Linked DNA regions of Xenopus tropicalis. The protein of the gene in region 1 purifies or fractionates together with the protein of each later gene. This does not show direct contact. Links are inferred from orthologs where the notes say so. Each region holds a gene or a part of one and is shown in the gene's direction. Other genes may lie near its edges. The genes, in order: wdr76, xpc, hells, camk2d, parp1, numa1 and cul4a.

What was found.
Region 2: the proteins of wdr76 (region 1) and xpc purify together in Homo sapiens (affinity purification with mass spectrometry; 3 studies listed by BioGRID and IntAct, with this or other methods). This does not show direct contact. The link is inferred for Xenopus tropicalis from reciprocal best matches to the Homo sapiens genes WDR76 and XPC.
Region 3: the proteins of wdr76 (region 1) and hells purify together in Homo sapiens (affinity purification with mass spectrometry; 4 studies listed by BioGRID and IntAct, counting the BioPlex papers as one, with this or other methods). This does not show direct contact. The link is inferred for Xenopus tropicalis from reciprocal best matches to the Homo sapiens genes WDR76 and HELLS.
Region 4: the proteins of wdr76 (region 1) and camk2d purify together in Homo sapiens (affinity purification with mass spectrometry; 3 studies listed by BioGRID and IntAct, counting the BioPlex papers as one, with this or other methods). This does not show direct contact. The link is inferred for Xenopus tropicalis from reciprocal best matches to the Homo sapiens genes WDR76 and CAMK2D.
Region 5: the proteins of wdr76 (region 1) and parp1 purify together in Homo sapiens (affinity purification with mass spectrometry; 4 studies listed by BioGRID and IntAct, with this or other methods). This does not show direct contact. The link is inferred for Xenopus tropicalis from reciprocal best matches to the Homo sapiens genes WDR76 and PARP1.
Region 6: the proteins of wdr76 (region 1) and numa1 purify together in Homo sapiens (affinity purification with mass spectrometry; 3 studies listed by BioGRID and IntAct, with this or other methods). This does not show direct contact. The link is inferred for Xenopus tropicalis from reciprocal best matches to the Homo sapiens genes WDR76 and NUMA1.
Region 7: the proteins of wdr76 (region 1) and cul4a purify together in Homo sapiens (affinity purification with western blotting; 3 studies listed by BioGRID). This does not show direct contact. The link is inferred for Xenopus tropicalis from reciprocal best matches to the Homo sapiens genes WDR76 and CUL4A.

The regions. Positions count from the first base shown.
Region 1 is NC_030679.2:118,344,340-118,348,532, reverse strand, and holds the start of wdr76 (WD repeat-containing protein 76), read left to right. Parts: upstream 1-1,393; 5' UTR 1,394-1,605; coding exon 1,606-1,653; intron 1,654-2,028; coding exon 2,029-2,331; intron 2,332-2,888; coding exon 2,889-2,975; intron 2,976-3,752; coding exon 3,753-3,811; intron 3,812-4,193. UniProt on the Homo sapiens protein: Specifically binds 5-hydroxymethylcytosine (5hmC), suggesting that it acts as a specific reader of 5hmC.
Region 2 is NC_030680.2:132,920,450-132,924,542, forward strand, and holds the start of xpc (DNA repair protein complementing XP-C cells), read left to right. Parts: upstream 1-1,293; 5' UTR 1,294-1,392; coding exon 1,393-1,477; intron 1,478-2,028; coding exon 2,029-2,170; intron 2,171-3,183; coding exon 3,184-3,278; intron 3,279-4,093. Other genes in the region: U6 snRNA-associated Sm-like protein LSm3, read right to left, coding at 677-697. UniProt on the Homo sapiens protein: Involved in global genome nucleotide excision repair (GG-NER) by acting as damage sensing and DNA-binding factor component of the XPC complex. Has only a low DNA repair activity by itself which is stimulated by RAD23B and RAD23A.
Region 3 is NC_030683.2:39,204,604-39,208,778, forward strand, and holds the start of hells (lymphoid-specific helicase), read left to right. Parts: upstream 1-1,375; 5' UTR 1,376-1,393; coding exon 1,394-1,424; intron 1,425-4,175. UniProt on the Homo sapiens protein: Plays an essential role in normal development and survival. Involved in regulation of the expansion or survival of lymphoid cells. Required for de novo or maintenance DNA methylation. May control silencing of the imprinted CDKN1C gene through DNA methylation.
Region 4 is NC_030677.2:69,358,044-69,361,478, reverse strand, and holds the end of camk2d (calcium/calmodulin-dependent protein kinase type II subunit delta), read left to right. Parts: coding exon 1-45; intron 46-241; coding exon 242-467; intron 468-1,121; coding exon 1,122-1,125; coding exon of another isoform or gene 1,126-1,129; 3' UTR 1,130-2,935; downstream 2,936-3,435. UniProt on the Homo sapiens protein: Calcium/calmodulin-dependent protein kinase involved in the regulation of Ca(2+) homeostatis and excitation-contraction coupling (ECC) in heart by targeting ion channels, transporters and accessory proteins involved in Ca(2+) influx into the myocyte, Ca(2+) release from the sarcoplasmic reticulum (SR), SR Ca(2+) uptake and Na(+) and K(+) channel transport.
Region 5 is NC_030681.2:7,987,469-7,991,696, forward strand, and holds the start of parp1 (poly [ADP-ribose] polymerase 1), read left to right. Parts: upstream 1-1,428; 5' UTR 1,429-1,542; coding exon 1,543-1,662; intron 1,663-4,228. UniProt on the Homo sapiens protein: Poly-ADP-ribosyltransferase that mediates poly-ADP-ribosylation of proteins and plays a key role in DNA repair.
Region 6 is NC_030678.2:178,866,037-178,869,536, forward strand, and holds part of numa1 (nuclear mitotic apparatus protein 1), read left to right. Parts: coding exon 1-104; intron 105-192; coding exon 193-333; intron 334-1,951; coding exon 1,952-2,074; intron 2,075-2,158; coding exon 2,159-3,500. UniProt on the Homo sapiens protein: Microtubule (MT)-binding protein that plays a role in the formation and maintenance of the spindle poles and the alignement and the segregation of chromosomes during mitotic cell division.
Region 7 is NC_030678.2:116,028,784-116,032,283, reverse strand, and holds part of cul4a (cullin-4A), read left to right. Parts: intron 1-133; exon of another isoform or gene 134-205; intron 206-913; 5' UTR 914-1,014; coding exon 1,015-1,144; intron 1,145-1,796; coding exon 1,797-1,912; intron 1,913-3,500. UniProt on the Homo sapiens protein: Core component of multiple cullin-RING-based E3 ubiquitin-protein ligase complexes which mediate the ubiquitination of target proteins. As a scaffold protein may contribute to catalysis through positioning of the substrate and the ubiquitin-conjugating enzyme.

The DNA.
Region 1 (4,193 bases):
CCCAGCCTAGATATTTTGAGGTTGTTCCATGATGTTACCATATTTAGCATTTTTTTGGAAATGCTAGAGCTCTGTATATGGAAGAAAGTTCACTCCCACGTATTTTACACGTTATACACGTTAAGATCTGCTTGTTTGGCGACTAACAAAATTCTAATTTAAAAATCAGGGAGCAGCTATTTGCCAACCCTGGGGCGAGTTTCTCAATTGGCCTTTTGGCAGCATTGCCCCTTATGATATCTTTTATGCAGATTCCTATTATCCAAAAAGCTTTGACACATGGAAAGCCCATCTCCCACAGAGTGATTTTTATGCAAGTCACCAGTAAGTTTCATGCCCATATAAAGGAATGCGACAAGTGGCACAACTACCGACAGGGCCACCATCAGGGGGGTACAATTGTGCCTATTTATATGTACTGCTTATTATAGAGGAGGGCTTTCTAACTGGCGACCCTACAGTTAGCACCATTTGGGTTTTTGCTGCCCTATCACCATTAATGTGGGTATGGTCTTAAAAGTTCTTGGGATAACATGGGTGTGGTTTGAAGTGGGTGTGGTTTAAAAATGGGAGTGGTCAAAACAGGCTTCCATTATCAGCCCCCAACCATTTAGGCCAGAAAAATTCCTGCCCTGTACAACAGAAGCTGGACAGCACTGTTATAGAGTAACATCTTCTGTTTATATTGGGATCCATTTACTAAATTATATCAGTGCCTGATCAATTGTATCAGTTTACGTAACTTATGCAAAAACGTACCTAACTTCCATAACAAGCAATGACAGCACAGAGCAGGGTCAGGTAGATGGGAAGAAGTTAAACATAGGGCAAACCCCACTGACCCCCAATAAACTAACTGAATTATTAGCACATTAATCAATGGAACTCAATATGAACTGCTTATTATAGAGTAACCAGCTGTTTATAGTGCACACAAGGGGCGTGGCCAATATTTTGGTACTGGCACTTGTGTTCATGGGGGGCCCCAAAGTTTCAGATGGCGGCCCTGACTACAAAAGAAGCAAACCCCACTGGTGCTGCACAATTTTGCGTGTGTGGAAAGTACCTGTGATTATATGCAGGGTGGATTTTTTTATTTTTTTTTTTGCAGGCCCAGTCCCGCCAAATTACTCTCCTTACTGACTTCTAATTGCCGCATATTTTACCACAGCTGGTACATATATTTTTGTGAGGCAAATTACATAATTTATTAAGATATATTTTTCAGGAAATGTGTGACTTTTTTGCGGATGGAAGCAAGGGATTAAGAAACTGGTGGGGTTGTTGTTTGGGACACTATGAAGGACTCGAACTATCACTATGTGTGTTTATGAACTGAATTGGACAGAAGGAGCTTGCACCCTGACACAATCATTTAGCCAGCTGACTATGGAAGCCTTGTCACTTCTTGCAACTTTTCCTCCAATGAAACTTTGCGCTTAGACAACGTCACTTCCGCACTGCTATTCCTGGTTATGCAACTTGAAGCGGCGGGAATCTTTTTGAGGCTTAGTAGATGCTCATTCTGGCATTCAGTTATATAAGTGGGAGAGTGTTGCATAAGGAGAGGCTTTGCCTGAGAGGAGAACGCAGGACCGCGCCGCAATGAGTTCAGACATGGAGAGCAAGAAAGCGACAGCGCAGATAGAGCAGGTGAGAAGCAGGATAGACAAAATGTGCGCCATGAATAACAGCAATACTTTTATGAAGACAAAAACAGCGACCCCCCACCCCCTCCCCATAAACTGCAGTGATTGGTTAATTTTTATATTATCACTTTTTCACACAATGTTGCTGTAAATACAACAATTTTGTGAACACACCAACAACTGGCATATTCTGTGAAACAAGTGGACATTCATTGGTGCAAAGCTTGTACCCAGAGCTATCAATTCATACAGTCAAATCCTATTTTATGTGTCTTAGGGAACCAGAAAAAAGATTAACAGCCAATTACTCAAAGGTCTTAAGTAGAAAGTCCGTAAACAATTGAAATATTAAGAATATTTATTTTTTCTTATCCAATAGGAAACTACACCTAAAGACAGTCGGGTTCCTGAGGGTTTACGTCGTAGTACCCGCCGTACCCATGCTGTTATGCATTCTCCTAATAAAGCATGTGTTGCGCCCAATCGTCCACAGAAACGCACTCTAGAGACGGACAAGCTTGAAGATGGTACACCTACTAAGAGATCACGTCTCCCAAAAGAACAGTCCTCAACAAGAAAACACCCCATTGTTTTGCTGTCTCAAGTGAGACCTGAAAATCAGAAGACAGAAACAGACACTCTTCCTGCGCCAAAGAAAAATTATAAACAAAACCCCGAACAGGTAAATGTCTGTTACCTTCGTTATAGCCTTAAAAACATTTAACCTTTTTTTGGTTGTCACTTGCTTTCAATTTCATGTTAAGTGATGCCCATTTCCAGATTTCAAATGGGCATCACTGACCCCAGCAGCCAAGAAACTATTGCTCTGTGAGGCTACAATTTTATTGTTATAGTTACTATAGTTTTTTTTTACTTATCTATCTATTCAGGCCCTTTACTCTTCATATTCCAGCCACTGAATCAAAATACTCCCTGGTTGCTAGGGTAATTCGGACCCTAGTAACCAGATAGCTGTTGAAATTCCAAACTGGAGAGTTGCTGAACAAAAGTACAATAATTAAAAAAACACAAGTAATAAAAAACAATTGCAAATTGTCATAAAGTTTTACTCTCTACATCATACTAAAAGTTAACAAAAAGGTTAACAGCTACAGATGACGGACTCCCTATTTTTAAGTCTTCCTGTCTGCTGGTCACGTTTTGATGAGGAGTAGCATTATTATAGATTTTTATTGTACAAAAAATTGTTACCAGACCTTTATACTTTGTTTTTTGCAGGTTACAGAACTGTCAGAATATGAACTTGAAAGGTTGAACAACATTAAAGAAAATGCAAAGTTTCTGGCATCACTAAAATTACTTGAGGTGTGTTTTTTATTTCCTCTCTCCAAGCATTCCATGTGTTAGAGCCAGACCACTCTTAATTACTTAGTATTTAGTCTGAACCCCTAGCCAACATTGGCAGCCAGATGTAACTAACTTTGAAGGAAATGGTCAAATTATTAGTACTAATAGTTACCTGGCAAATACCCAAATAATGCAGTACAGGTATAGGACCTGTTATCCAGAATGCTCAGGACCAAGGGTATTCTGGATAAGGGGTCTTTCCGTAATTTGGATCTCCATACATTAAGTCTGCTAAAAAATCAATAAAACATTAATTAAACCCAATAGGATTGTTTTGCATCCACTAAGGATTATTTATATCTTAGTTGGGATCAATTACAAGGTACTGTTTTATAATTACAGAGAAAAAGGAAATCAGTTTTAAAATTCTGAATTATTTGATTAAAATGGAGTCTATGGGAGACAGGCTTATACCTGTATAACCTAGTTGTGCTTGCACTAAATCTCTGGCCGCCTTGCACTCCTTATTTCTTTATATTTATTTTTATTAGTTATTTTGAAGTCTTTATTTTTTGGCGGTTTGCCAAAAAATTTCCAGGCTCACTACTCACTAAAAAACTGTTAGTTTTCACACCCGTTGAAATTTTGTCTTTTACTTTACGTTGTACTTGTGTGTGTGTGTGTGTGTGTATGTATGTATGTATGTATGTATGTATGTATATATATATATATATATATATATATATATATATAAATTTCTTTTTTAATTTGAACACTGTATTTGTTTTATTACAGACTGCCTCAAGTCTTAGTTCACCCCCAAAGAAATCAAATCAGACCCGTGGTATTAAAAGGTAATCTGTTCAGCGATTTTTAACATATTTGCTGCAGTTTTAAATAATAATGCAGTTGAGGGACTGGATTTCATATTCATCATATACTGATAACTAAATGAACTGTAGATTTTAATATTACAATAGCCCTATGTAATGTGTTTGTTCAAAAAAATAATCCAAGCCACTCTTAAAGGCATTAATAGAATATAACATCACCCGGCAGGATATTCCACAAACTTGATATAGGGGTGTGCTCCTGTTCTCCCACTATTTGTCTATAATGTCCACCAATGTACTTGAAAAGTTAATGTATTGGCAGGCTTTGCTTGCAAAGTGACGAAAAATACTCTCATGCCTTTTCTGTAAGTTATGACTCATAAATCCAAGCAAGTATTCTGTC
Region 2 (4,093 bases), on another chromosome or scaffold:
CAGCCCTGCACTCACAAAAGCACAGACAGGCTTCAGTTCCCTATCAGGTCAGCCTAGCTGCTGATTGGTTCCTATCTTAGAGTGCCCCGGCTCCCCTGCACATCCAGAGAATTCAGCCAGCAGGAAGTGGAACAGATGGGCGGGGCTAGTGGGGTTTGGGGGGATTCTCAAATCAGTCCGAAACAACTTTTTTTTTTTTTAAGCACAATCCTATATCTAGGAGTATAATTCACTAGTATATTCTTAAATTTTATAGGATGTGTCCCTAAAAAACAGGAGTCAAGAGTCAATTGGGAGATAAACTCAGAAATCTGAGGTATAGAAACTAAAACAAGCCTTGTGCTTCTATTGTTTGAATATATTGACGCCATCAGCCACACAGAACATACATTTCATTTTACTCCTGACCACAACAACTGGGTTTTTAATCAGATTTACATCGCTAGTTATGAATATAAACACACTCCACCGGTGCTTCACGATTAAAAAAAAAAAAAGGCTTTGAAATAAAAGAGAAAACAGTCCAGTTTGAATAAACATTCACTTAATTCCCCGCAACATAAAAAAACCCTATACGCGTTCCCAAGCGAGACCGGGCCAGGAGCACCCCTTATGCCGCACTGCGCCGAGAACCGAACAGAACCTGTTTTCCAGTCTTATAAACCCACATCCCTACCTGCTCTCCGTCGTCCGCCATCTTCAAAACCCCGCGCAAAGGAAATAGCCGAGAACCCTGACAATTCTCCTATCGCGATATTTATGTGCCACAGGAAGAATGTGAAGCTCGGCCAATAGCGTGAGAGTATGGGCAGTAAGTGGCGGAGGCCTGGATGTGACGCTTGGCCAATAGCGTGAGAGTATGGGCAGTAAGTGACGGAGGCCGGAATGTGTAGCTCAGCCAATAGTGTGAGAGTATGGGCAGTAAGAGGCGGAGGCCTGGATGTGAAGCTCGGCCAATAGCGTAAGAGTATGGGCAGTAAGTGGCGGAGGCCTGGATGTGACGCTTGGCCAATAGCGTGAGAGTATGGGCAGTAAGTGACGGAGGCCGGAATGTGTAGCTCAGCCAATAGTGTGAGAGTATGGGCAGTAAGAGGCGGAGGCCTGGATGTGAAGCTCGGCCAATAGCGTAAGAGTATGGGCAGTAAGTGACGGAGGCCGGAATGTGAAGCTCAGCCAATAATGTGAGAGTATGGGCAGTAAGTGTCGGAGGCCGGAATGTGAAGCTCAGCCAATAATGTGAGAGTATGGGCAGTAAGTGGCGGAGGCCTGGCAGCGGGGTGCACATGTGTATGTTCCGGAAGTGACGCGTTAATGTTATTGTCTGAGACAGATTGTTTCCTGTTGTGTGGGTTATACAACCAGAGGGGACATGTGAGGTAGAATTGTGGGGAGATGGCAAAGCGGAGGGGGTCTGAGGGTGCTGCGGTAGCGGGGAACAAGCAGAGAAACCGCCCGGCAATAGACTCCCTGCATGGTGGTGAGTTTCTATGGGGTCTGCATGTCTATAGAGATTTTCATTCATCTTGTGAATGATATACAGTAACACGTAAAATGAAATCTAAACACAGACTTAATTCACAGACTTAAATAGACTTAATTCTTATAGGTACTGTATGGGGACACTGTGCAGAGTTTCTAAATAGGCTGGGAATAATACTGTAGTGAGTGCAGATTGAACCCTATGGGCATCAGCCCTGTACTATTCACTATACTGGTTTTAAGATTCTTCTATGATTGCTAAGGTAACCCCTAGAAACCAGATAAATTAAATACAAACCTTGACAACATAATTCAGAGACCAGATGAAATAAAAAATAAAGACCAGTTGCAGATTGTGTTAGTATTATGCCATCTGGACAATATTAAAAGATAGGCAGAGTTAGCCCTTGAATTGTGCATGGGCTTTTATTTCTGTGCTAAATGATTAACTACCAATGCTTTGGGCTCTGGTGGAACATTACAGGTCGTTTGCACTTAGCTCTTCATCCTTCCTATTTAATAAAGGGGCATCTTGTTTTAACCATGTAGATGACGAAGATAAATTCTATGAAGAGAAGAGACCCCCAGTTAAGAAGAGTAAAGATTCCTGCGGTGACAGTCTGACGAAGCAAAGTTGTGTAGCCAAGAGACCGACTGTAAATGATGGGAAAACAGTTGGAAAACAAACACAGTGAGTCATCTTGGTTGAGTTGATTGGTTTTACAACAATGCAGGAGAGATGCACTAAGTCTGCTCCATGTTTGCTTATTCTTGTGTCAATATGGCCAATATGGATAAAGCCGGCCATACACACACCAATGATGTTGTACAAAACCTCATACGATTCTCTGTGCGTGTATGGGGCTTGACGAGGCAACTGATATTGCAAAAAGCTGTGGATATCGGTCGACTAGTCGATCGGCCAGGTTAAAAGGTTTTGATATGGCACCCCGAGCAAAATCTACGTTCAGGGCTGAATCGGCAGAAGGAGGTAGAATTTCTATTGTTTCTACCTCCATATCTGACGACTCAGCCCTGAACGTTACTGGAGGGTGGGAACGATCGAAAGATCAAAATTGCTATGTGTATGGCCACCTTAAGTGGTCTTAGCGCAGCGCACAACAAGGTAGCTGGAGCTTTTACATGCATGTATAAATAAGCCCACATGCTCATATCTGTAGTTTATTAGTCTATAGTTCAGATTTACTAACCCACTTTAATTAAGAAATTTCTTATGCAATGTTATTTATGCTCAGATCTGTACTGATTTCAGTAGTATATGTGCTTAAGTCAAATGTAAGCACTTAATACAAATAAATATAAAATTACTCATCATTTTTTCCATTTACATAATTATTTTTGTCTAGTTTTCAAGATAGTGGTAGTTTTTACTCTTCTCATATAATGAATTTAAAACAACAGTGTCCCTGCCTGCTGTTCAGTTCTGCCAATCAGCTGGCAAAAAATCCACTTTAGTGAGAAGAAAGGAGTCATCTAGCAATTCTTGTGTCAGTTCATCGCAAGACTTCCGTCTGCTCACAAAAGTCATTTCCTGAGTCAGACTAGCGACAAGACTTTTGTCTGCTTGCTAAGTCAATTTTCTGCCAAATGTGGCTAAGGTTTTATATAAAAAACATTTAGATTATCATTCATGGCCTCATTCTTGAGTTTTAGTCTTTTTAATTCTTGCTGTGCAATCTACAGAGATCCACCAAATTTGAAGATCAAGACGCCTGTTAAAAAGTTTAGTGGCTCGAAGGATGCAGAAGAGAGTGAAGATGAGTGGGAGGATGTGGAAGGTAATGGACTTTTATGAATTTATATATCTAGTGAGCCATTTACAGTCTGACTGATCCATATTTAGGGCACTTTGGCTGCGGGGATGATGAGGGGGAACCAAATTTCCAGACACGATATAGTGTCCAGCGACACTATTCAATCTGCAGTATTCCAGTCTTTCACATTCATGGTTCAAATAAGCTCCAGAAAGACACCCATCTGATTTTGTGGGCAGATGAACTTGGTGCCTTAAGGGCTGTGGCACACGAGGAGATTAGTCGCCCGCGACAAATCTCCGTTGTCGTGGGTGACAAATCTCCCCAAAATGCCATCCCACTGGCGAGAATCATGTAAGTGCCACAGCCCTAAAGGACATGTAAACCACCCCCACAAACAATGTAATCAGTGAACAGTCTTTTTAAAACCTTTACAAATCTTTACACGTTAATAGTAAGGCATCCCCTTAATCACTTAGGATTCCTTTTCCTCCTCTAATCCACTCACCCCTCTACCTCACAAATGTGCTTTGGCTGTTGGGTACTGGGCATGCTCAGTTCCAAACTATAGCAGCGAATCTTCTCAGGAAGGAAAAATGGGTGTGCACTCAAGGCAACTGCGTATACACCAACAAAAAAAGAGTAAAAAAATCAAGAGAAACTTTATTTATACCTTCATCTCACAAGCCTTGTGTGTTTTGTGTCCAAATGACATTTAATCATAGGCCATTTTTCCTTCCTGTTATGAATGGGACTTGGTCACTCACTTAGAGATGAGGGTCTGGGGCTGGAGCACCTGGACCACTATTTCACATTGGTGAGTTTTCTACAGTAGATAA
Region 3 (4,175 bases), on another chromosome or scaffold:
GGGAGCAGGAGCAGCAACAGAGCGTCCAGTAATAATCTAGCAGCAAGGCTCTGGTGGCACTGGACGATCTGGTCTTGCTTTGCCTCTTGTTCCCCAAGATGCTGGAGGAGATTGGATAACATGACTTCAGGAGCAGCGGAAGAAGCAGCAGCACCTTCAAGGTCCATGTTGGGCCCAACGTAATGTCACACACAGTATCCCAAAACCCAGAACAAAACCCAAGGTCCCTAGTCTGAGCTCACTCTTCTGCCTATAACAGCCACCTTTCGCTTCGGGAGGAGCCCTCTGCTACTCAGGTGCCGCCAGGACTTAATGTGAGAGAACCAGGGCAAATGTTCTGGGCAGGCTAGGGAACCTAAGCGTACAAAATCAGAGGGAGAAGGCAAAGTCACAAACAGGCAAATGGTCAAAACTGTCAATACTACCACACAAAAATTTTCATACACCCTTTAATAACCATTTCAAAGCTAAAAGTACAATGGCCACAAAACCTGCCACTGGTGAGGAGATGAAGGCTCCTAAAGGAGGATTAATGCAGTGAGACATAAAATCTTAATGTGTATGGCCACCTTAAGTCCCGATAAGGCTAATGGCCTGCAGAGTTATGACTTTTTTTTAATTTTACCCACTCTTTTCCTAAATTAGCCCTTATGCTATAACTTAATTGTAAAAAACTAGCCTTTGTCTGCACAAAAAAAAAAACCCAAAAAACTGGGCTTCTGATGCCACCATGAACAAAAAACTCAAGATACTTTTGGGCATTTTCAGTCATTATCTTCAACAAAACTAGCCAGTGTTTTGTTAAATATAACTCCATTAATAGGCATGGTTTTGTTGAAGACAACCCCATTACTTAACAGCTGTCTGTGCCATCTCACAAGGGCCCTTCAGCCATTCACCAGAATTTAGGTAAAGGGCAGGCCTAGGAGCTACAGACGATTTCAGTGGTGTAATACTATATGCCTACGGACTGGGGCAAATGTGATCGTCTGTTATGTGTTGTTAGCACGTCAACCTAACATGTTAATTATATTTTGTATAGTTTTCAATAAAACATAAAAACACTATATGCCTACAAACGCAAGGAGTCACATCGCGAAACAAGCCCTCTAAATAAACCTTCTGTCTCACGCACAAAAAATAACTAGAATAAGATGGCGATCAAGAGGACTACAGTCCCGCCTTCCACTATAACTAGCCCAAGGTAGCTATCTGTATTTCCGCTAATTCTCCCGCCATTTCCCCGGCGAGCAGGGGCGGAGCTGCGGCGTCACTATTTGGGGCGTGGCAGCCTGAAAGCGAGGGGCGTGGCCAGCCCGTTGTGTGACTGAACGCGCGAGTTCTGTAGAAAGTTTGGCGCGAGTGGTGGCGGAGCTGAGGGAAACGCTGCACCATGCCTGTGGGACACAGCTCGGCCGGACAGGGTACAGAGACATTGCCGCATGTTCTGTAGCTGGGGTTTACTTCTCTATTGCTATTCGGAAATGTTATAAAACTAGAACTCGGGGAAGCTGAGAGTTGTAGTTTAGTAGCAAACCCGTTGTCTATAAATGCTTGCGGACATGCATGCGTTATTTTCTTATGATTGTTGTGGTTGTGCAAGCATTTCATGCAAGATTAGGAATAAGTCTGAGGGATGGGGGGGCTGCCACCTAGTACAGGGCTGGGTTTGGCTAGAATAAGGGGGCTTTTGCTGTTCCTCTATTTCCAGGGCCTCTTTGAGGAAAAAAGTTGTTACATGTGTAACAATTGTGATTGTATCTCTCAGATTTGTTACAATAGAAGTAACATGTTTCTTTCCCCTGTGTAATGGGCTCCCCTGCCCCTGTGTAATGGGCTCCCCTGCCCCTGTGTAATGGGCTCCCCTGCCCCTGTGTAATGGGCTCCCCTGCCCCTGTGTAATGGGCTCCCCTGCCCCTGTGTAATGGGCTCCCCTGCCCCTGTGTAATGGGCCCTCCTGCCTGTATTAGCTCTGTTGTACAGCACCCTGCTCTCCTGCCCCTGTGTAATGGGCCCTCCTGCCTGTATTAGCTCTGTTGTACAGCACCCTGCTCTCCTGCCCCTGTGTAATGGGCCCTCCTGTCTGTATTAGCTCTGTTGTACAGCACCCTGCTCTCTCTGCCCCTGTGTAATGGGCCCTCCTGCCTGTATTAGCTCTGTTGTACAGCACCCTGCTCTCTCTGCCCCTGTGTAATGGGCCCTCCTGCCTGTATTAGCTCTGTTGTACAGCACCCTGCTCTCCTGCCCCTGTGTAATGGGCCCTCCTGTCTGTATTAGCTCTGTTGTACAGCACCCTGCTCTCTCTGCCCCTGTGTAATGGGCCCTCCTGCCTGTATTAGCTCTGTTGTACAGCACCCTGCTCTCTCTGCCCCTGTGTAATGGGCCCTCCTGCCTGTATTAGCTCTGTTGTACAGCACCCTGCTCTCCTGCCCCTGTGTAATGGGCCCTCCTGTCTGTATTAGCTCTGTTGTACAGCACCCTGCTCTCTCTGCCCCTGTGTAATGGGCCCTCCTGCCTGTATTAGCTCTGTTGTACAGCACCCTGCTCTCTCTGCCCCTGTGTAATGGGCCCTCCTGCCTGTATTAGCTCTGTTGTACAGCACCCTGCTCTCTCTGCCCCTGTGTAATGGGCCCTCCTGCCTGTATTAGCTCTGTTGTACAGCACCCTGCTCTCTCTGCCCCTGTGTAATGGGCCCTCCTGCCTGTATTAGCTCTGTACAGCACCCTGCTCTCTGCCCCTGTGTAATGGGCCCTCCTGCCTGTATTAGCTCTGTTGTACAGCACCCTGCTCTCCTGCCCCTGTGTAATGCTGTTCTGCATGTACTTACGTATTGAGCAGAGCCCTCTTTTCCTTCCATATTTATTAGTATCTGTATGTTTGTATGCACCCTTCAATTGAACTCTGGGATTTGTTGGTGCTATATGAATATATAAAGGTTAGAAGGCACCAGGTGTTGAGTTATAGTGAATGCTGTCTTCTACTGTGTCTGGAGCAGGTACAGTAGAAGACAGCAGTGCCCCTGTTAATGTACCCAGTGTACCAGTTGGTGATAGGGCACCACTCCACTTATGTGTTCAGAGGCAGGTTACAGGGCTATGGCGCAAGGGCTTTTTTTACCTCTGCAGCAGTTAAAATTTCATTTTCCACTTCTAATGTTTTATAATAAGTGTTGAAAGCATATGGAACAGTGACAGGCAACCAATGCTAAAAAAAAGTGAGCTTTTTGATGCCCTGCCCCACCTGTCACTGCCGTGTGAAGATGGATTAGTGCTATATACCATTAGGGGCAATGACATGCACACGGATTACAGTGATATAACAAACATAACAAACTCCCCTATGTGCCTAAGATTAATAGGATATGTGGTGTTTCATATGCCTGTCACTTAATTAGAATCCTGTTCGCACTGGATAGATTCTGCACCAGAAAGAGTCCAGTTGCCTAAAACACATCAGCACAGTAGCCAAGTTACTAAAATCGTAATCCTTTTTTGCTGTTGTCCTAATCATGAGTCCTGAATCCTATTTTGCCATTAAAACCCTTAAAACTAGATAAAACATTACAGCATCCGCCAGCTAAGGGATGTTGTGCTAGAGCTCGCAGTATTCAAGGCATGTTGGTGTAGTTGTAGTTTAGCAGCTAGAACTCTGTCTATTGTGCTTTCTTGCATCAACTTCTGAGTTCTCTGTCGATGTATTTATGAACCTTGGGACTTTCGCTTGACTCATGGTGATTTATATAACTACTGGTAGATTTGACTACCCTGAGGGCATGTGCTTTTCATGGGTGTGTTCTGTTACAAAAGGGATTATCAACCTTTGTAAGGTTAGCACTTTGTAGAAGCTACAACATGTTAATATGCATGAAAAGTATGAGGTTTTTGTCCGTTTCTATAAAAGTGTGTATCTAGTATTTAACCAACATGGAAACAGAATTTAAACTGATGCAGGTATTATGCAGAATGCTTGGGACCTGGGTAGTGCTGGATGGGGAGGGTCTTTCTGTAAGTTTGATAATCATACCTTGTTTACTAAAAATCATCTAAACAAAGTAAACCCAATAGGATTGTTTTGCCACCAATATGGATTCTCTTAGTTGAAATCAAGGTACTGTTTTATTACAGTGTAAAGGGAAATCATATTGGAAGATGATTGATATGGGGAAGCTTTCCCTA
Region 4 (3,435 bases), on another chromosome or scaffold:
ATCTAGTAGAAGGAATGGACTTCCATCGATTTTATTTTGAAAATGGTATATTTCCCTATTCCCAGTTTTGTTTGTGTGTCTTTTTTTTGGAGCCAAAAAATGCTCCCCTTGACAAAAGTTACTTAAATGCCTGAAAAAAAATCTTTTGCACAGATACATGCTGAGGGATTAGAAAAACAAAGCTGTAACTGAAATGGTTTTCCAATAAATCAATGCATTGTTTTATGTTACTGATTTTTAGCGCTGTCCAAGAGCAACAAGCCAGTCCATACTATTATCTTGAATCCTCATGTTCATCTGATTGGAGAAGATGCTGCATGCATAGCATACATTCGTCTCACCCAGTATTTGGATTCCACCGGTATGCCAAAAACAATGCAGTCAGAGGAGACCCGTGTGTGGCACCGTCGTGATGGAAAATGGCAGAATGTACACTTCCATCGTTCTGGGTCACCAACAATACCGAAGTAAGGCTCATCCCAGTAAGCTGCTGGTTTATATTTGCCGCCAGTTTACTTCAGTGTTGAAATATGCATACATATATTATGACTAGACCTGCAACTGCAGTAGAACCTCAGTTTTCTTCCACAATTCATGCTATTGTAGTTTCCAAATAAACTGAAAAATTTATTAACCTGTTTCCTGGCTTTATATTATGTTTCTTTGCTCCTCTGGGATGAGGATAATCACAATGAAAATACATATTACAATTAATATTCATTATGTTCCAAAATTATTTAAAGCATACTGTTGGCACATTTTACCTTAAAGCCCTATGCCTCGTCACATCAGAAGGCACATATTTTTTGAGTTTGCCTTCCATTCAAGTTAATGTGAAACTCTACTGACAGCACTGAACCCAAATTAATTGCACACCCTGGACTTTTTACGGCACTCCCTATTGCCGTAAATGAAAGAAGACCCACAGAATTATAACTGTATATAGCAGCAGCCAGAGCAACTGATAAACCATACCCCTTCCTACATCTGATCATCATCTGCTAATGCAATATAGAATAAGGCTTATGTTGTTCATAGAACAAACATACCTTAAATGTGCTTCCAAATATGGTTAATATGGAATAAAAAAATGTGTTTAACCTTTATTCCTTTCTTTTCAGCTAAATAAACCTTGCAAGCCTTTATTTCAAATATTCAAGACAACTGGATGGTAAATTTTGGACTCAATCCCTTATCCTTTGTCCCAGCAGCAGGGTGTTTCCATAATTAAGAACATCTTCCTCCTCCGAGATCTGCTGCAGTCTACTCCTGCTCAAGTTCGTAACATTCCAGTAAATGGTGATTAAAGTGGATTCAATAAAATAAGAAGGCAGTTACAATATTGTTTCATTCAGTGGTTCATTATGATTTTGCCAAGTGTCTGTCAACTGAAGAAAGTCAGCTTTGGAAATGACCCATATCTGTGTGTATCTATAAGTGTACACACAGGCAACAGTTTTTTTTTCTATTAGACTTGATTATAACAAAAGTTTAGAAACAGATCAGTATAGATATAGAAACATATAGGCAGTGACTGCCTGGTTTCCAGACTATTGTGTCATAACATGGGAAATATCGTAGTCTAGCACAAAATACAATTTAGATCCTTGCTATAACAGTCATACACAGTAGATGTTGTACGTCACTTTGAATTACCTTCCAAAATAATGAAAATATAATTTAGATAGTCTGAAAGATTTTTGGAGTAGTTTTCTCTATTTCTTCTATATATTTTTTTTTATATACTCCACAGATAAATGTTTAATGAGTGTATATTGGTAACGATTGGGGGCTAATATAGGTAGTTTTTTTGATAATTAAGCATATGAAAAAGTACAATTTTACATTCAGGGTATATAATGCTTAAAAGATATATGTATTTTTTGTGTCCGTATAGTCTTGAAACAATACTTAAACTATTGTGTACTGTATGTTGTAAAGGATATGGGCTTTAAAGGTTATAATAATAGGGATGGAAAATATAACTACAATTTTTGTGATGGGTATTAATAAATCTATTTCTGCACTGCTTTAATTTTACCAATAACTTTCTACTGATGCTAACCTGTTTTGTCCCAGTGCACACTATTTGCTTTTGGTTAATGATCTGCTACAAAACCACAATTGTTTTTTTTATATAGATATATAAACTAGAGGGAACTTTCAACACTATATGCAGGGAATGCTATTGTTGTCTGTAAATGTTTTCTAACGGAAACTTTGGTGAACTGGATTTATATTGATCATATTCAGTATCTGTGCTACTAAACCTGAGCCCCCACCAGGGGTTGTGCTTCATTTCAACATTAGATACATGGTTATGTTGAACAAGTTTAGGGGCTGGTTACTTTAGTGCTGTGCGTGCATGGTGGAGCGGTGTCATTGTTTTCCTTGGTTTGCATCCTGAAAAATAAAAAGACTTTTGAATTCGCATTAATCCAACCTTGTGAAACTCCAAGCAATTCTTTTACGACTCTACATGTTGTTCAGTAGTGGATGTGAGCTGAGTAATGCTAACAAATAAATATACACACAATTTTCTACACTATATCAACCAATTAATGTGCTGAGCCATTTTAACCTGCCAATGAAATCTGTGAAATTTTAATAACAGCAATTTGTTTTCTGTATATCTTTATTCTAGATGTGCTTCCACTGTTAGTATTTAGTTATCGTGTGCTGATATTAATGTCCAGTTACTATGGTAGCTTCATATACTTAATTAACAAAACTAGCATGAAATGCTGACATAGTACTGTAGACCAAATCTGTCTTCCACACGGCCATGTGAGGAAACCATTACTAAACCTCTGCACCATGGTGAATATATCATCCTTTGAAATGTCGCAATATACTGATGGGCACAGTGTATATATTTCTTGCCATAAAAAGATTGATATAACTAAAATGTCAATAAAATCGTGGATTAAGTTGATGGTGTTGCGAGTGTGTTTTCTCTTTTATTCTTTTGAAATTAGAATTACTGTGGTAGTTTAAATATTAATTTATAACTAGAAAGAAGTTTGAGAACAAACTTCATGTTGGTTTAAATATATTGGAAAAACCACTGTGCAAAGTTTGGGGACCGTAGTATTAATAGTTAATAAATGGCAGCAGTTTAAATTTAAACCAATAAAAGTCAATAGGTAAATTGTGATTGGTGGTTGGTGGGTGTGCCCACTTTTTCTAACCTTGATTCAAATCACCCAGTGACAAACAGTGGGCACCCTGGCATAAATAGTGTGAGAATGGCAGCATTTTAAATTTAACTAAATAAATAAAATTCAATAGATGAAATCTGATTGGCTGTTAGTGGCCCAAACCACTTTTCCAATTTTTCACCTGCAGTCCCCCAGTGACCAACTTTGCAAAGTTTGGGGCATAAAAATTGTGGGGCTGACAGCATTTTACACGTCACCATTGAAAGTAAATAGG
Region 5 (4,228 bases), on another chromosome or scaffold:
TAGTATGAGTAATTTGGGGGGAGCACCAATGTTTTAGGGGGCCCTGGGCTGGCCAGCATTGATTTAGGGGGTACCTGCCCTGGCACCAATGTAAAATGTAACCCCTGGCCACCAATGTTTTAGGGGGGCCCTGGCTACCAATGTCTGTATGTCCTTTGTATTGATGGGAGGGGTCACTGGGGGAGGGGCCATTGGGAGTGTGGGAGGAGGGGGGGCCCAGAAAATCTTGTTGTGAGGGGCCCCGTGATTTCTGATGGCGGCCCTGCCCCCATATAAAGGCACAAGGCTGCAGGCTGAGTTATACAGGGAACTCTGAGTATCACTCATGTATTATAGGGGGTAATGTACCCCCTACTGTAAATGATAAGGATATTAGCAGTCACTGAGGGGTTCTGTGCCCATATAAAGGCACAAGGCTGCAGGCTGAGTTATACAGGGAACTCTGAGTATCACTCATGTATTATAAGGGATAATGTACCCCCTACTGTAAATGATAAGGATATTAGCAGTCACTGAGGGGTTCTGTGCCCCCCATATAAAGGCACAAGGCTGCAGGCTGAGTTATACAGGGAACTCTGAGTATCACTCATGTATTATAAGGGATAATGTACCCCCTACTGTAAATGATAAGGATATTAGCAGTCACTGAGGGGTTCTGTGCCCCCCATATAAAGGCACAAGGCTGCAGGCTGAGTTATACAGGGAACTCTGAGTATCACTCATGTATTATAAGGGATAATGTACCCCCTACTGTAAATGATAAGGATATTAGCAGTCACTGAGGGGTTCTGTGCCCATATAAAGGCACAAGGCTGCAGGCTGAGTTATACAGGGAACTCTGAGTATCACTCATGTATTATAAGGGATAATGTACCCCCTACTGTAAATGATAAGGATATTAGCAGTCACTGAGGGGTTCTGTGCCCCCCATATAAAGGCACAAGGCTGCAGGCTGAGTTATACAGGGAACTCTGAGTATCACTCATGTGCTATAAGGGATAATGTACCCCCTACTGTAAATGATAAGGATATTAGCAGTCACTGAGGGGTTCTGTGCCCCCCATATAAAGGCACAAGGCTGCAGGCTGAGTTATACAGGGAACTCTGAGTATCACTCATGTATTATAAGGGATAATGTACCCCCTACTGTAAATGATAAGGATATTAGCAGTCACTGAGGGGTTCTGTGCCCATATAGTCACAAGACACAAATCTGACGCCTTGTTATTATCCTTACATAATACTTTGCCTCACACAGACACACATTCCTCACACAAACAAACATTCCTCACAATTCTCACACAGACACACAGATAAGCTAGGGAAAGTGACGTCACTAAGTGTGCTGGGGCCACGCCCTCCCTGCCCAGACATGGGCAATGGATTGCCGTTCCCCGGATGCCAGGAAGCAAAGCGGCCCAGACGCGCACTCTGGCGGTGATTGCTTGTGCCTGTTCTGTTGTGTGGCGGGCTTGGGGCTGCACGCTGTTCCAGTGGGAGCCGGAGTGTCCCTGTGTGTAGGAGCCGCTCCTCCCTGCAGCCATGGCCGAGGCCTCGGAGAAACTTTATCGGGCTGAGTACGCCAAGAGCGGCCGCGCCTCCTGTAAGAAATGCGGAGACAACATCGCCAAGGAGTCCCTGCGGCTTGCCCTCATGGTGCAGGTAGGGGCCCGGCTGGGCTGCAGCATTATTGCCTATGGGGGGGCTAGTGTGGCTCATACAGTATGGGCCATTATTGCCTATGGGGGGGCTAGTGTGGCTCATACAGTATGGGCCATTATTGCCTATGGGGGGCTAGTGTGGCTCATACAGTATGGGCCATTATTGCCTATGGGGAGGCTAGTGTGGCTCATACAGCATGGGCCATTATTGCCTATGGGGAGGCTAGTGTGGCTCATACAGTATGGGCCATTATTGCCTATGGGGGGGCTAGTGTGGCTCATACAGTATGGGCCATTATTGCCTATGGGGGGGCTAGTGTGGCTCATACAGTATGGGCCATTATTGCCTATGGGGGGCTAGTGTGGCTCATACAGTATGGGCCATTATTGCCTATGGGGAGGCTAGTGTGGCTCATACAGCATGGGCCATTATTGCCTATGGGGGGGGCTAGTGTGGCTCATACAGTATGGGCCATTATTGCCTATGGGGGGCTAGTGTGGCTCATACAGTATGGGCCATTATTGCCTATGGGGAGGCTAGTGTGGCTCATACAGTATGGGCCATTATTGCCTATGGGGGGCTAGTGTGGCTCATACAGTATGGGCCATTATTGCCTATGGGGGGCTAGTGTGGCTCATACAGCATGGGCCATTATTGCCTATGGGGAGGCTAGTGTGGCTCATACAGTATGGGCCATTATTGCCTATGGGGAGGCTAGTGTGGCTCATACAGCATGGGCAGTTTGTAAGTTATTAGCCCTGGGCTAATTGCCCTAGTAATGGGGTATAGGAAAGTGCCCCCTCCAGCCCAGTGGGTTATTATTGTGAATACGGGTCCTAAGGTGGGGTGTCATGGAAGGTTATTGCCCCAGGTTAAGGTATGTTGTGAAAGCCAATGGATAACATGCTCTAGGTAAGTGCCCCAGCTGGGGTACTTTTGAGTTCAGGTATAGGGCAGTAATGAGTTGTAGGGGGGCTTGTTGCCCCTGAATGGGGACTGTTGTCAAACGGTAGGTTTGTGATGTATAGTAGGTAATTGCCCCAGTGATGGGCTGTTATTGCCCTGTGTTGGGGTATTCTGTTGGCAAGCCAGGGAAGTTAAGGGAAAGAACCAGGGCAAATTGTTGGTCTTTCTCCCAGAATGGGGTAACATGGTACCAATACTGGGAATAAGAAGGCGGATCCTATATACAGTTTGTTTCTGTATCTGCCCAAACCCCTCCCCCAGGGAGAAGCCAGGGCAATTCTGGATGTTTACACACCCACCGTAGAGCTGCACAGCAAGAGGAATATTTGCCCCGTGTTCCCAGAGGCTGCCATTGGCCTGTATTTACAAGACTTTACAGTGCCGGGGGCCCATTGTAAGGCTATATACATACCGAGCAGCTCAGAACCCAGGGGGGAGCCGGGGCAATTGTCTCTACTAGATAACAAAGGCTGGTGTCACACTGGGCACTTTATTAGCCCCTGTGGCTCTGCAGCACCCACCCCCTTCCTTCATGATTACTGTGCTGAACTGAGACTAACTAGGTAGTATCAGTAAGGGATTTCCAGCTGAGTCCTATCTACATACAAATATACGGAGAAGGAATGTTCTGGGCACACAAAATGATGCCCTCCATACTGTACTGTCTAAGGGAAACACTATGGCACCCCCTACCCATATGTATAAATACAAATATACAGAGAAGGAATGTTCTGGGCACACAATAAGCTGTACCCCCATACTGTACTGTCTAAGGGAAACACTATGGCACCCCCTACCCATATGTATAAATACAAATATACAGAGAAGGAATGTTCTGGGCACACAATAAGCTGTACCCCCATACTGTACTGTCTAAGGGAAACACTATGGCACCCCCTACCCATATGTATAAATACAAATATACAGAGAAGGAATGTTCTGGGCACGCAATAAGCTGTACCCCCATACTGGTCAGCCAGTGCCCCCCCACATACATGCCAGGTGATGGTGGGGAGACCAGACTAAAGTGATCTCATCTGATTGCATTGGATTTGATCAGCAGTGATGTACATACACTGAAGCACAGTTCTAGGCATCAGTCCAGATAAACAGTTTTGCTTTGGTCTTTATTCAAGACCCCCTCTTTCTCTGTGTATGGGAATTGTATCTATTTTGGCTGAAGTTAATGCACCCGAGTAAGAAAAATTCAGTAAGTGGCCTTGTGCTTTGTTTTGCAGTCTGGAACATCGAACTTTGCTTTTAATATACAGGGATGGGATCAGTTATCTGAAAACCCAGAAAGCTCCAAATTACGGAAAGACTATATCCCATACTCAATTTTATTCAAATAATTCAGATTTTTAAAATTGATTTCCGGTTTCTCCTTAATAATAAAACAGTACCTGTACTTGATCCCAACTAAGATATAATTACCCCTTATTGGGGCAGAACAGCCCTATTGGGTTTATTTAATGGTTAAATGATTCCCTTTTCTCTGTAATAATAAAACAGTACCTGTACTTGATCCCAACTAAGATATAATTACCCCTTATTGGGGGCAGAACAGTTCTATTGGGTTTATTTCTTGTGTTAGCAGGTT
Region 6 (3,500 bases), on another chromosome or scaffold:
TTCGGGACACCCTCAAGCAGTGTCAGGATATGAAGACTGACAAGAAACAACTGGAACGCAAGAACGATCAATTGGCCGAGGAGAATGGCGAGCTCTCTTACAAGGTCTTGTAATCCTCCATGTCACATGACAAGTTTCACTTCCCCACATACATATACATATATATATCATCCCATATGTGTCTTTGTGCAGGTGCGAGACTTATCCAACCGCTTGGCACAACTGCAGGAGGCTCTCTATGAAACCACAGAGGAACACGAGCTTTCTCTGAGCAACTGGGAGCAGAAACAGAGCCAGTTAGAGAGTGAGCTGAGTGGTGCAGTCGGTGAAAAGGTAATGAATTAATGGCTTAATCAGATGTGTTGGGCTGCTTGGTTTAGCTTGACCTTCGGGGATGCTAACAAACGATCATAACACGTTGTTCATGTTCTGTGTGATGTGCTCCATTGGCCAGATAATGGACATGGCAGAAGGTTGCTGTGATAGGCAGCATGGTAGCCTTTGATAATTCATAATATGCCTTTTAAGGTGTAGCATTTATGAACCAATATTTATTGTGAGCTTAGTGTCCCTTTCAAAGTATTTCGGAAGGGTATTTTCTCCTTTATCGAGGTGATATAGGAACTGTAGGAATATAGCGTCCACCATCAGGATGCAGAAGACTAAAAATAACTGACTTCAACTTGTACTTGACCCCTCCCACAGGGGCTGTAACTCTGCCCCTTCTTGTGCTGTCCTCCGTGGGGCTGGGGAACACACAGGCTGCCTGTTTGACCAGTGGCTAAAAGTGGCAGCCAGGGGACTTATGGGTCCTTGTTGGTTAGACAGGACATCCATGTGGTGTGGATTCTTGGGGTTGTTCTCCTACTGGAAGGTCTACTGCAGTGATCCCCAACCAGTGTCTCGTGAGCAACATGTTGCTCACCAACCCCTTGGCTGTTGCTCTCAGTGCCCCCAGTTATTGTTGAATTCCTGACTTGGGGACAAGTTTTGGTTGAATAAAAACAAGATTTCCTACCAAATAAAGCCCCTGTAAGCTGATAGGGTGCATAGAGGCTGCCTAATAGCCAATCACAGCCCTTATTTGGCTCCTCCATGTACTTTTATGGTGCTTGTGTTGCTCTCCAAGTCTTTTTACATTTGACTGTGACTCACAAATAAGAAAGGTTGGGGATCCCTGGTCTACTGGGTCTCTGTGCTCCATCCCTCACTTGAAGCCGCCCTACTTGCCTCTACCTGTCCTCCTTCACTTTGGTAGACGGTTGACTAGTGCTGAGAGGGGCCCCAAGTTGGACAGCAGGCATACTATGCGACTCCCGCTGGCTCTGCCAATCTTTCCCTGCACACATGTCCCTGGGGTGGCTCAGCCCTTTTGAAAGATGGCACAGGCCAAATCCCATGCCCTTCCCAGATATGTCTCCCTTGGACCCTTCACTACTACCCTTTATTGTCATTACATGCTGCCTTCCCAAGCTTTCACCGTACACATTCCCGGGCTCTTGGTGCACTCCTACCTCCCTTTTGAGAACGCCCTCCTTTTTCCTTCTAATTCACCTAGATAAAATATGTTCTGTGAGGATCACAATAAAATAGTGAGTGAAGTTTACCACGTTATTTTCTGTACATAGGTTTTTCTTACAGAGTAGAGGCACCGTCACGCCATCCAGACTTTACAAATCAGAAAGAAAATATCACTCCGGAGAACTATGTCAATCAACCAGTTGTAGTTTTATTATATACACAACATGCTTCAGATCCTGATGAAGGATCACTGGTTCTGAAACACGATGTGCAGTATAAAATAAAACTGCGACTGGTTGGTTGACACGTTTCTCCGGAGTGATATTTTGTTTCTGATTTGTATGTTCTGCAAGGTCCTTTCCTCCGTTATATAAAAGTATACAAAGATTGTTCTGTGGATTTGGCGTTAATATCTGTTTTGTTATTGCAGAAGTATCTGGAAGAGCATCACTTAATACTGCAGGGAAAAATATCAATGCTTGAGGATCAGCTAAAGAAGATGGGGGAGAGAGAGGTGGAAGAAAAAGGAGATTGTATGGGTGACATCCTCAAGGTATGGATGGATGCATGGAGACTGTAAAGACTGTTAGTACCATACGTTTTTTACTGAGGTTTGTTTTTTTTTTTTCTCCTTTAGCTGGAAGACTTGAAGCAAGAGGTAACTGCGCTCAGCACCCAGTGCCTCAGTCTAACAGAACAGATCCATCAGTTGGAAGAGGAAAAGAGCACTACAGAAATTGACATGGAGGCACAGAGGTCCAGATTTGAATCTGAGAAAAGTCAGCTGCAGGAGATAGTCACTAACCTGCAGACTTCATTGTCAGAAATAACATTTCAGAAGGAGAGGCAAGATAACGAGGCCAGGGCACAACAGGAACATCTGACATGCCAGATTACAACATTAAAACTGGAGATCTCCAAGCTGAAGTCTTCCCTGGTGCATAAGGAGGAAGAGCTGAAGGGCATTCACCATCAAGTGGAAGAAGAGAAGAGAGAAAAAAATCAGCTCTTGGAAAACTTCAAAATACTGGAAGAATCCTCAAAGCAGAACATTCAGGAGCTTGTAAACCAAGTGGAGCAAATTAGTAGCTCTTTGAAGGTTTCCGAGGGCAATCTGGTTGGACTTACACAACAGCTAGAGAGCAAGGCGAAAGAAGTTGACTATTTAAGAGAAGAACAGCAGAAAGTTGCCTGTGAGAGAGATTCCACTCTTTCCACATTCAATGAGTACAAGTGCAAAAAGGATGAAGAGTTCAGTGTCTTAAACATGACCATGAAAACACTGGAACAAGATCATCAAGCTAGTCTTTCTGTTATAGAGGAGCTGAAAAGGGAAAAGGCAGAGCTGGCATCCAAGCTACAGGAACTGGATGCCACCATTCTAGATCTGCTTGCTAAATGCCAGAACTTGGATAGTGAAAATGCTTCACAGAGCAAATCTCATGCAGCCGCTGTGGAGTCTCTAAAGGCACAGCTTTCAGAGCAGGAGAGTCAACTGAAAATATATCAGAAGAAGGTGTCCTCCTGTGAATTGGTGTCCGAAGAAAACTCGCAACTTAAAGAACAGCTCCTGTCTATGGACGAAAGTCTGAGACATCTTAGGGAACATCTAGAGAAAGAGAAAATGAAATTTGCTGCTTCTCTTGATAGCGACGGTAAAAGAATTTCCCACCTTGAAGAGGAGATGAAGAAGTTGAGTGAAAGCAGAGATGCAGCACTGAGTAACCTTGCTGAAGAAAGGGCCGCTGGACAGAAGATTGAATCTCAGCTGAAGCACTTACAGGAGGAGTACCATACAGCAAATGAAACCCTGCAGGCAAAAATGGCAGAATCCAGCGCTGCTATCAAACAGCGTGAAGCAGAAAGGGACGAGTTGTCTAAGGTGGTTGACATCTGGAAGGCCAAATATGAAGAGTCTCAGCAGAAGATAGTGCAGAACTCCTGCCAGATGGAGGAACAAATTCAACATCTGAAGAAGG
Region 7 (3,500 bases), on another chromosome or scaffold:
GAATAGTGTCATGTAATTAAAGACACAATGTGTTATATTATGAGAATTACTTTATAGTAATAGTCACTTTTAGTTTTATGAGGGTTTTATTTCCTAATTCTGATGTGACTGTCTCTATATCCTTTTTATGCAGGACTGTCTTACTTTATGGCAGGGTCTATAGACTCAGGATCAGAGCAGATGTCTCACAAAGCACATGGACAGGGTCGGTTATACTTTTATATTTATTTTTACAACACTGATACTTAAAGAGCTTAGCATATGAGAGTGGAACAGGATAAGAAAGTTTAGCTGAAGCAGAGCAAACTGTACAGTGAACTTTTTGTTTTTAATTTAAAATGTATTAATTTCCCAAACTTTTTCCAAAAATGTCAAGTACTTGTTAAACAGAAACAATAGACGAGATACAGTCCCTATCATGTACCAGTTACTTGATTTAAAAAAAAAAAAATGACAATACTATTACATTGGGGTGGGGAATTTGTAGTGAAATTTTAGTGTTTATTTTGAAGCAATTTTTTGAAGTTGCTAAAGTTTTGTTTACCCAATTTTTCTGGGAGAATAACTCTTCCTAGAGCCTTGTAGCAATGTATATACAGTGAAATTTAAATATTTACGGGCTTCAGCAATAAAGGAGCAGTAACCAATAACAACCAATCCGAAGGTAAAATTTACTGATCACCTGTTTGAAAGCAAGCATCTTATTCGTTGCTATAGGTTACTGCTTATGGCCAAACTTGTGCCTTTTATTACATATGAGGGAAGTTTATAAAGGTCAGACCTACAATGTAACTAACAATATGGATAAAGAAAATGGGGTTATAATGGTAATTGTTATTGATAACCATATCTCATTAAAGTTTTAAATAAACGCTAACATGCTTTTTTATCTCCGCAATTTTGTAAAATATAGATTTCCAGTGAGAATATGGGGAAAGAGCTCTGCTGACACTCATTCTTGGAACCTAATTTTTCATGTCGTTTAATCCTTGAGTGGCTCACCAGTGTACCACTATGGCACAGGAAGCTCAGAAAAAAGCAAACTTTTCAACACTTGCTGGACATACAAATGGTCTCACAAAGTCCTCTGCCTTGACCTCTAAGCCTTCAGCTTCCAAAAAGTTAATTATTAAAAATTTTAAAGGTAGGTATTTCTTAATCTGTTTTTTAACTCTTACATGCTATGAAGGTTAATCCATTGTTGAAGCATTTTTATATATAATGCTGGCTCTATATAGACGGGGGTTGGGGGCAGTGCATAAATTGTTCATCAGTAAGCAGACACATTTGTGTTAAGCTGGCCATACACGCACCGATAATATCGTACGAAACCTCGTTTCGTGCGATATTCGGTACGTGTATGGCATGTCGGCGAGTCGACCGATATCGCAGGAAGCTGCTGAAATCTGTCGACTCGCCGATCGGCCAGGTTAGAAAATTTTGATCGGGCACCATAGAAGGCGCCTGACCAAAATCTGCCATCAGGGCTGAATCGGCAGAAGGAGGTAGAAATCCTATTGTTTCTACCTCCTTATCTGCTATTATCTTATCTGTTATTTTTAGGTGCCTGACACCAACCTTCATTTGCATGTATATAAACATAATAGTTACTGCCTTTTTAAGGAGTATATCACTTTTTGCCCCTGGAATATGCTGTTTGATTCCATACATAAATACCCTGAGATCACATGTAATTAATTCTTCAAATTTGTTACATTTTACATGCTCTGCTAGTAACTAGACCTTACATGGTGTTGTCTGCATGGCTGCTCTGACTGTAACATCTGAAATTTCAGATAAACCAAAACTGCCTGACAGCTACACTCAGGACACGTGGCAAAAGCTCCAGGAGGCAGTGAATGCCATAGAAAGTAGCACATCTATAAAATACAACCTGGAGGAGTTATACCAGGTATGACTTTCCTTTGCTATTTTAGTAAAGTCTTAACCAGCCACCCATTCTGTCCTGCACTGTTAATTACCCTGGCAACCCAAACCTATCCAGCTCATGGGTAGACTTTTTCTCTGGTACTTAGCAAAACGCAATGGTATTATCAGGTATATTAATAACTACAGTTACTGTATAGTACTCTATTGTGCTAATGTGTACTAACATGGAGCTTGTTCAGATGGTATATAGAGCAGTGCTGTCTAACTTCTGTGGTACCGAGGGCCGGAATTTTTCTGACCTACGTGGTGGAGGACCGATAATGGAAGCCAGTTTTGACCACTCCCCTTTTTGAAACCACACCCGTGTTGTCACATGACCATACCCATATTAATGGTTGTAGTACAGCAAAAACCTGCCATACTCTGCCTTCCCTAACCCTGCCTGTGTGTGCCATACTCTGCCTTCCCTACCCTGCCTGCGTGTGCCATACTTTGACTGTGTGTGCAATTCTTGGCGGGTTTGTGCCATGCTTGGCCTGTGTGTGCCATACTCTGCCTGCCCTACCCTGCCTGTGTGTGCCATACTCTGCCTGCCCTATGCTGCCTGTGTGGGCAATACTCTGCCTGCCCTATGGCACACACAGGCAGCATACAGTGACACAATGCTGGCACTGCTCCTACAGTCTGCAAAAAACTTTTTAATTGCAGTATCACCTCAGTATATGTTCTTTTTGTAGTGTGCAGGGATTATTTGTGGGTTTCTACTGCTCCTACAGTCTGTCTGAGGTGTGAACAGGGGAACAATGTGGGTGATTACAGTCTGAGCCTGAGGTGTGAACACTGCAGGGGGTGAACAATGCAGAGATTAAAAGGTGAACAACACAGCGGATTACATTTTCAAAAATACAGAGGGTTTACAGCCTGAATCTGAGGTGTGAACCATGCAGGGGGAGCAGTTAATCACAGTACTGTGACCGCACTGATATAGAGGGTTCCAGACATGTTTAAAATGTGAAATAGATAGACATCATCACACAGAAAAGTAGCACATTATGTTTTTTTTCAGCAGTCACTATTCTTATACCAGTCTCTCTTCTACCTGAGAAGTGTAAAGATTAAAAAAAACAATTTTCTCTACATTTTGTGTGTTTAAGGGGTTGGAAGGCTTGTCTAGGAATAGCATTGCTATCTGTAATCAAAGCAGTTAGTACTGGACATACTTTTTACTTATTGTTTAATCACTTATTGTTTAATTTTTTTTTTTTCTTGAGCTAAACAGGGAGATTAAAGCTACGCAAAATTTAGCACAGGTATCCCTTATATGGAAACCCATTATCCAGAAAGTTCCAAATTATGGAAAGGCCAATTCTCATAGACTCCATTATAAGCAAATAATTCTAATTTTTGAAAAGGGTTTCCTTTTTCTCTGTAATACTAAAACAGTACCTTGTACTTGATCCCAAATAAGATAGCATTAATCCTTATTGGAGGCAAAACAAGCTTATTGGAATTATTCAATATTTAAATTATTTTTAGCAGACTTAAGTTATGGAGATCCAAGTTATGGAAAGATCCCTTTTCCGGAAAACCCCAGGTCCTGAGCATTCTGG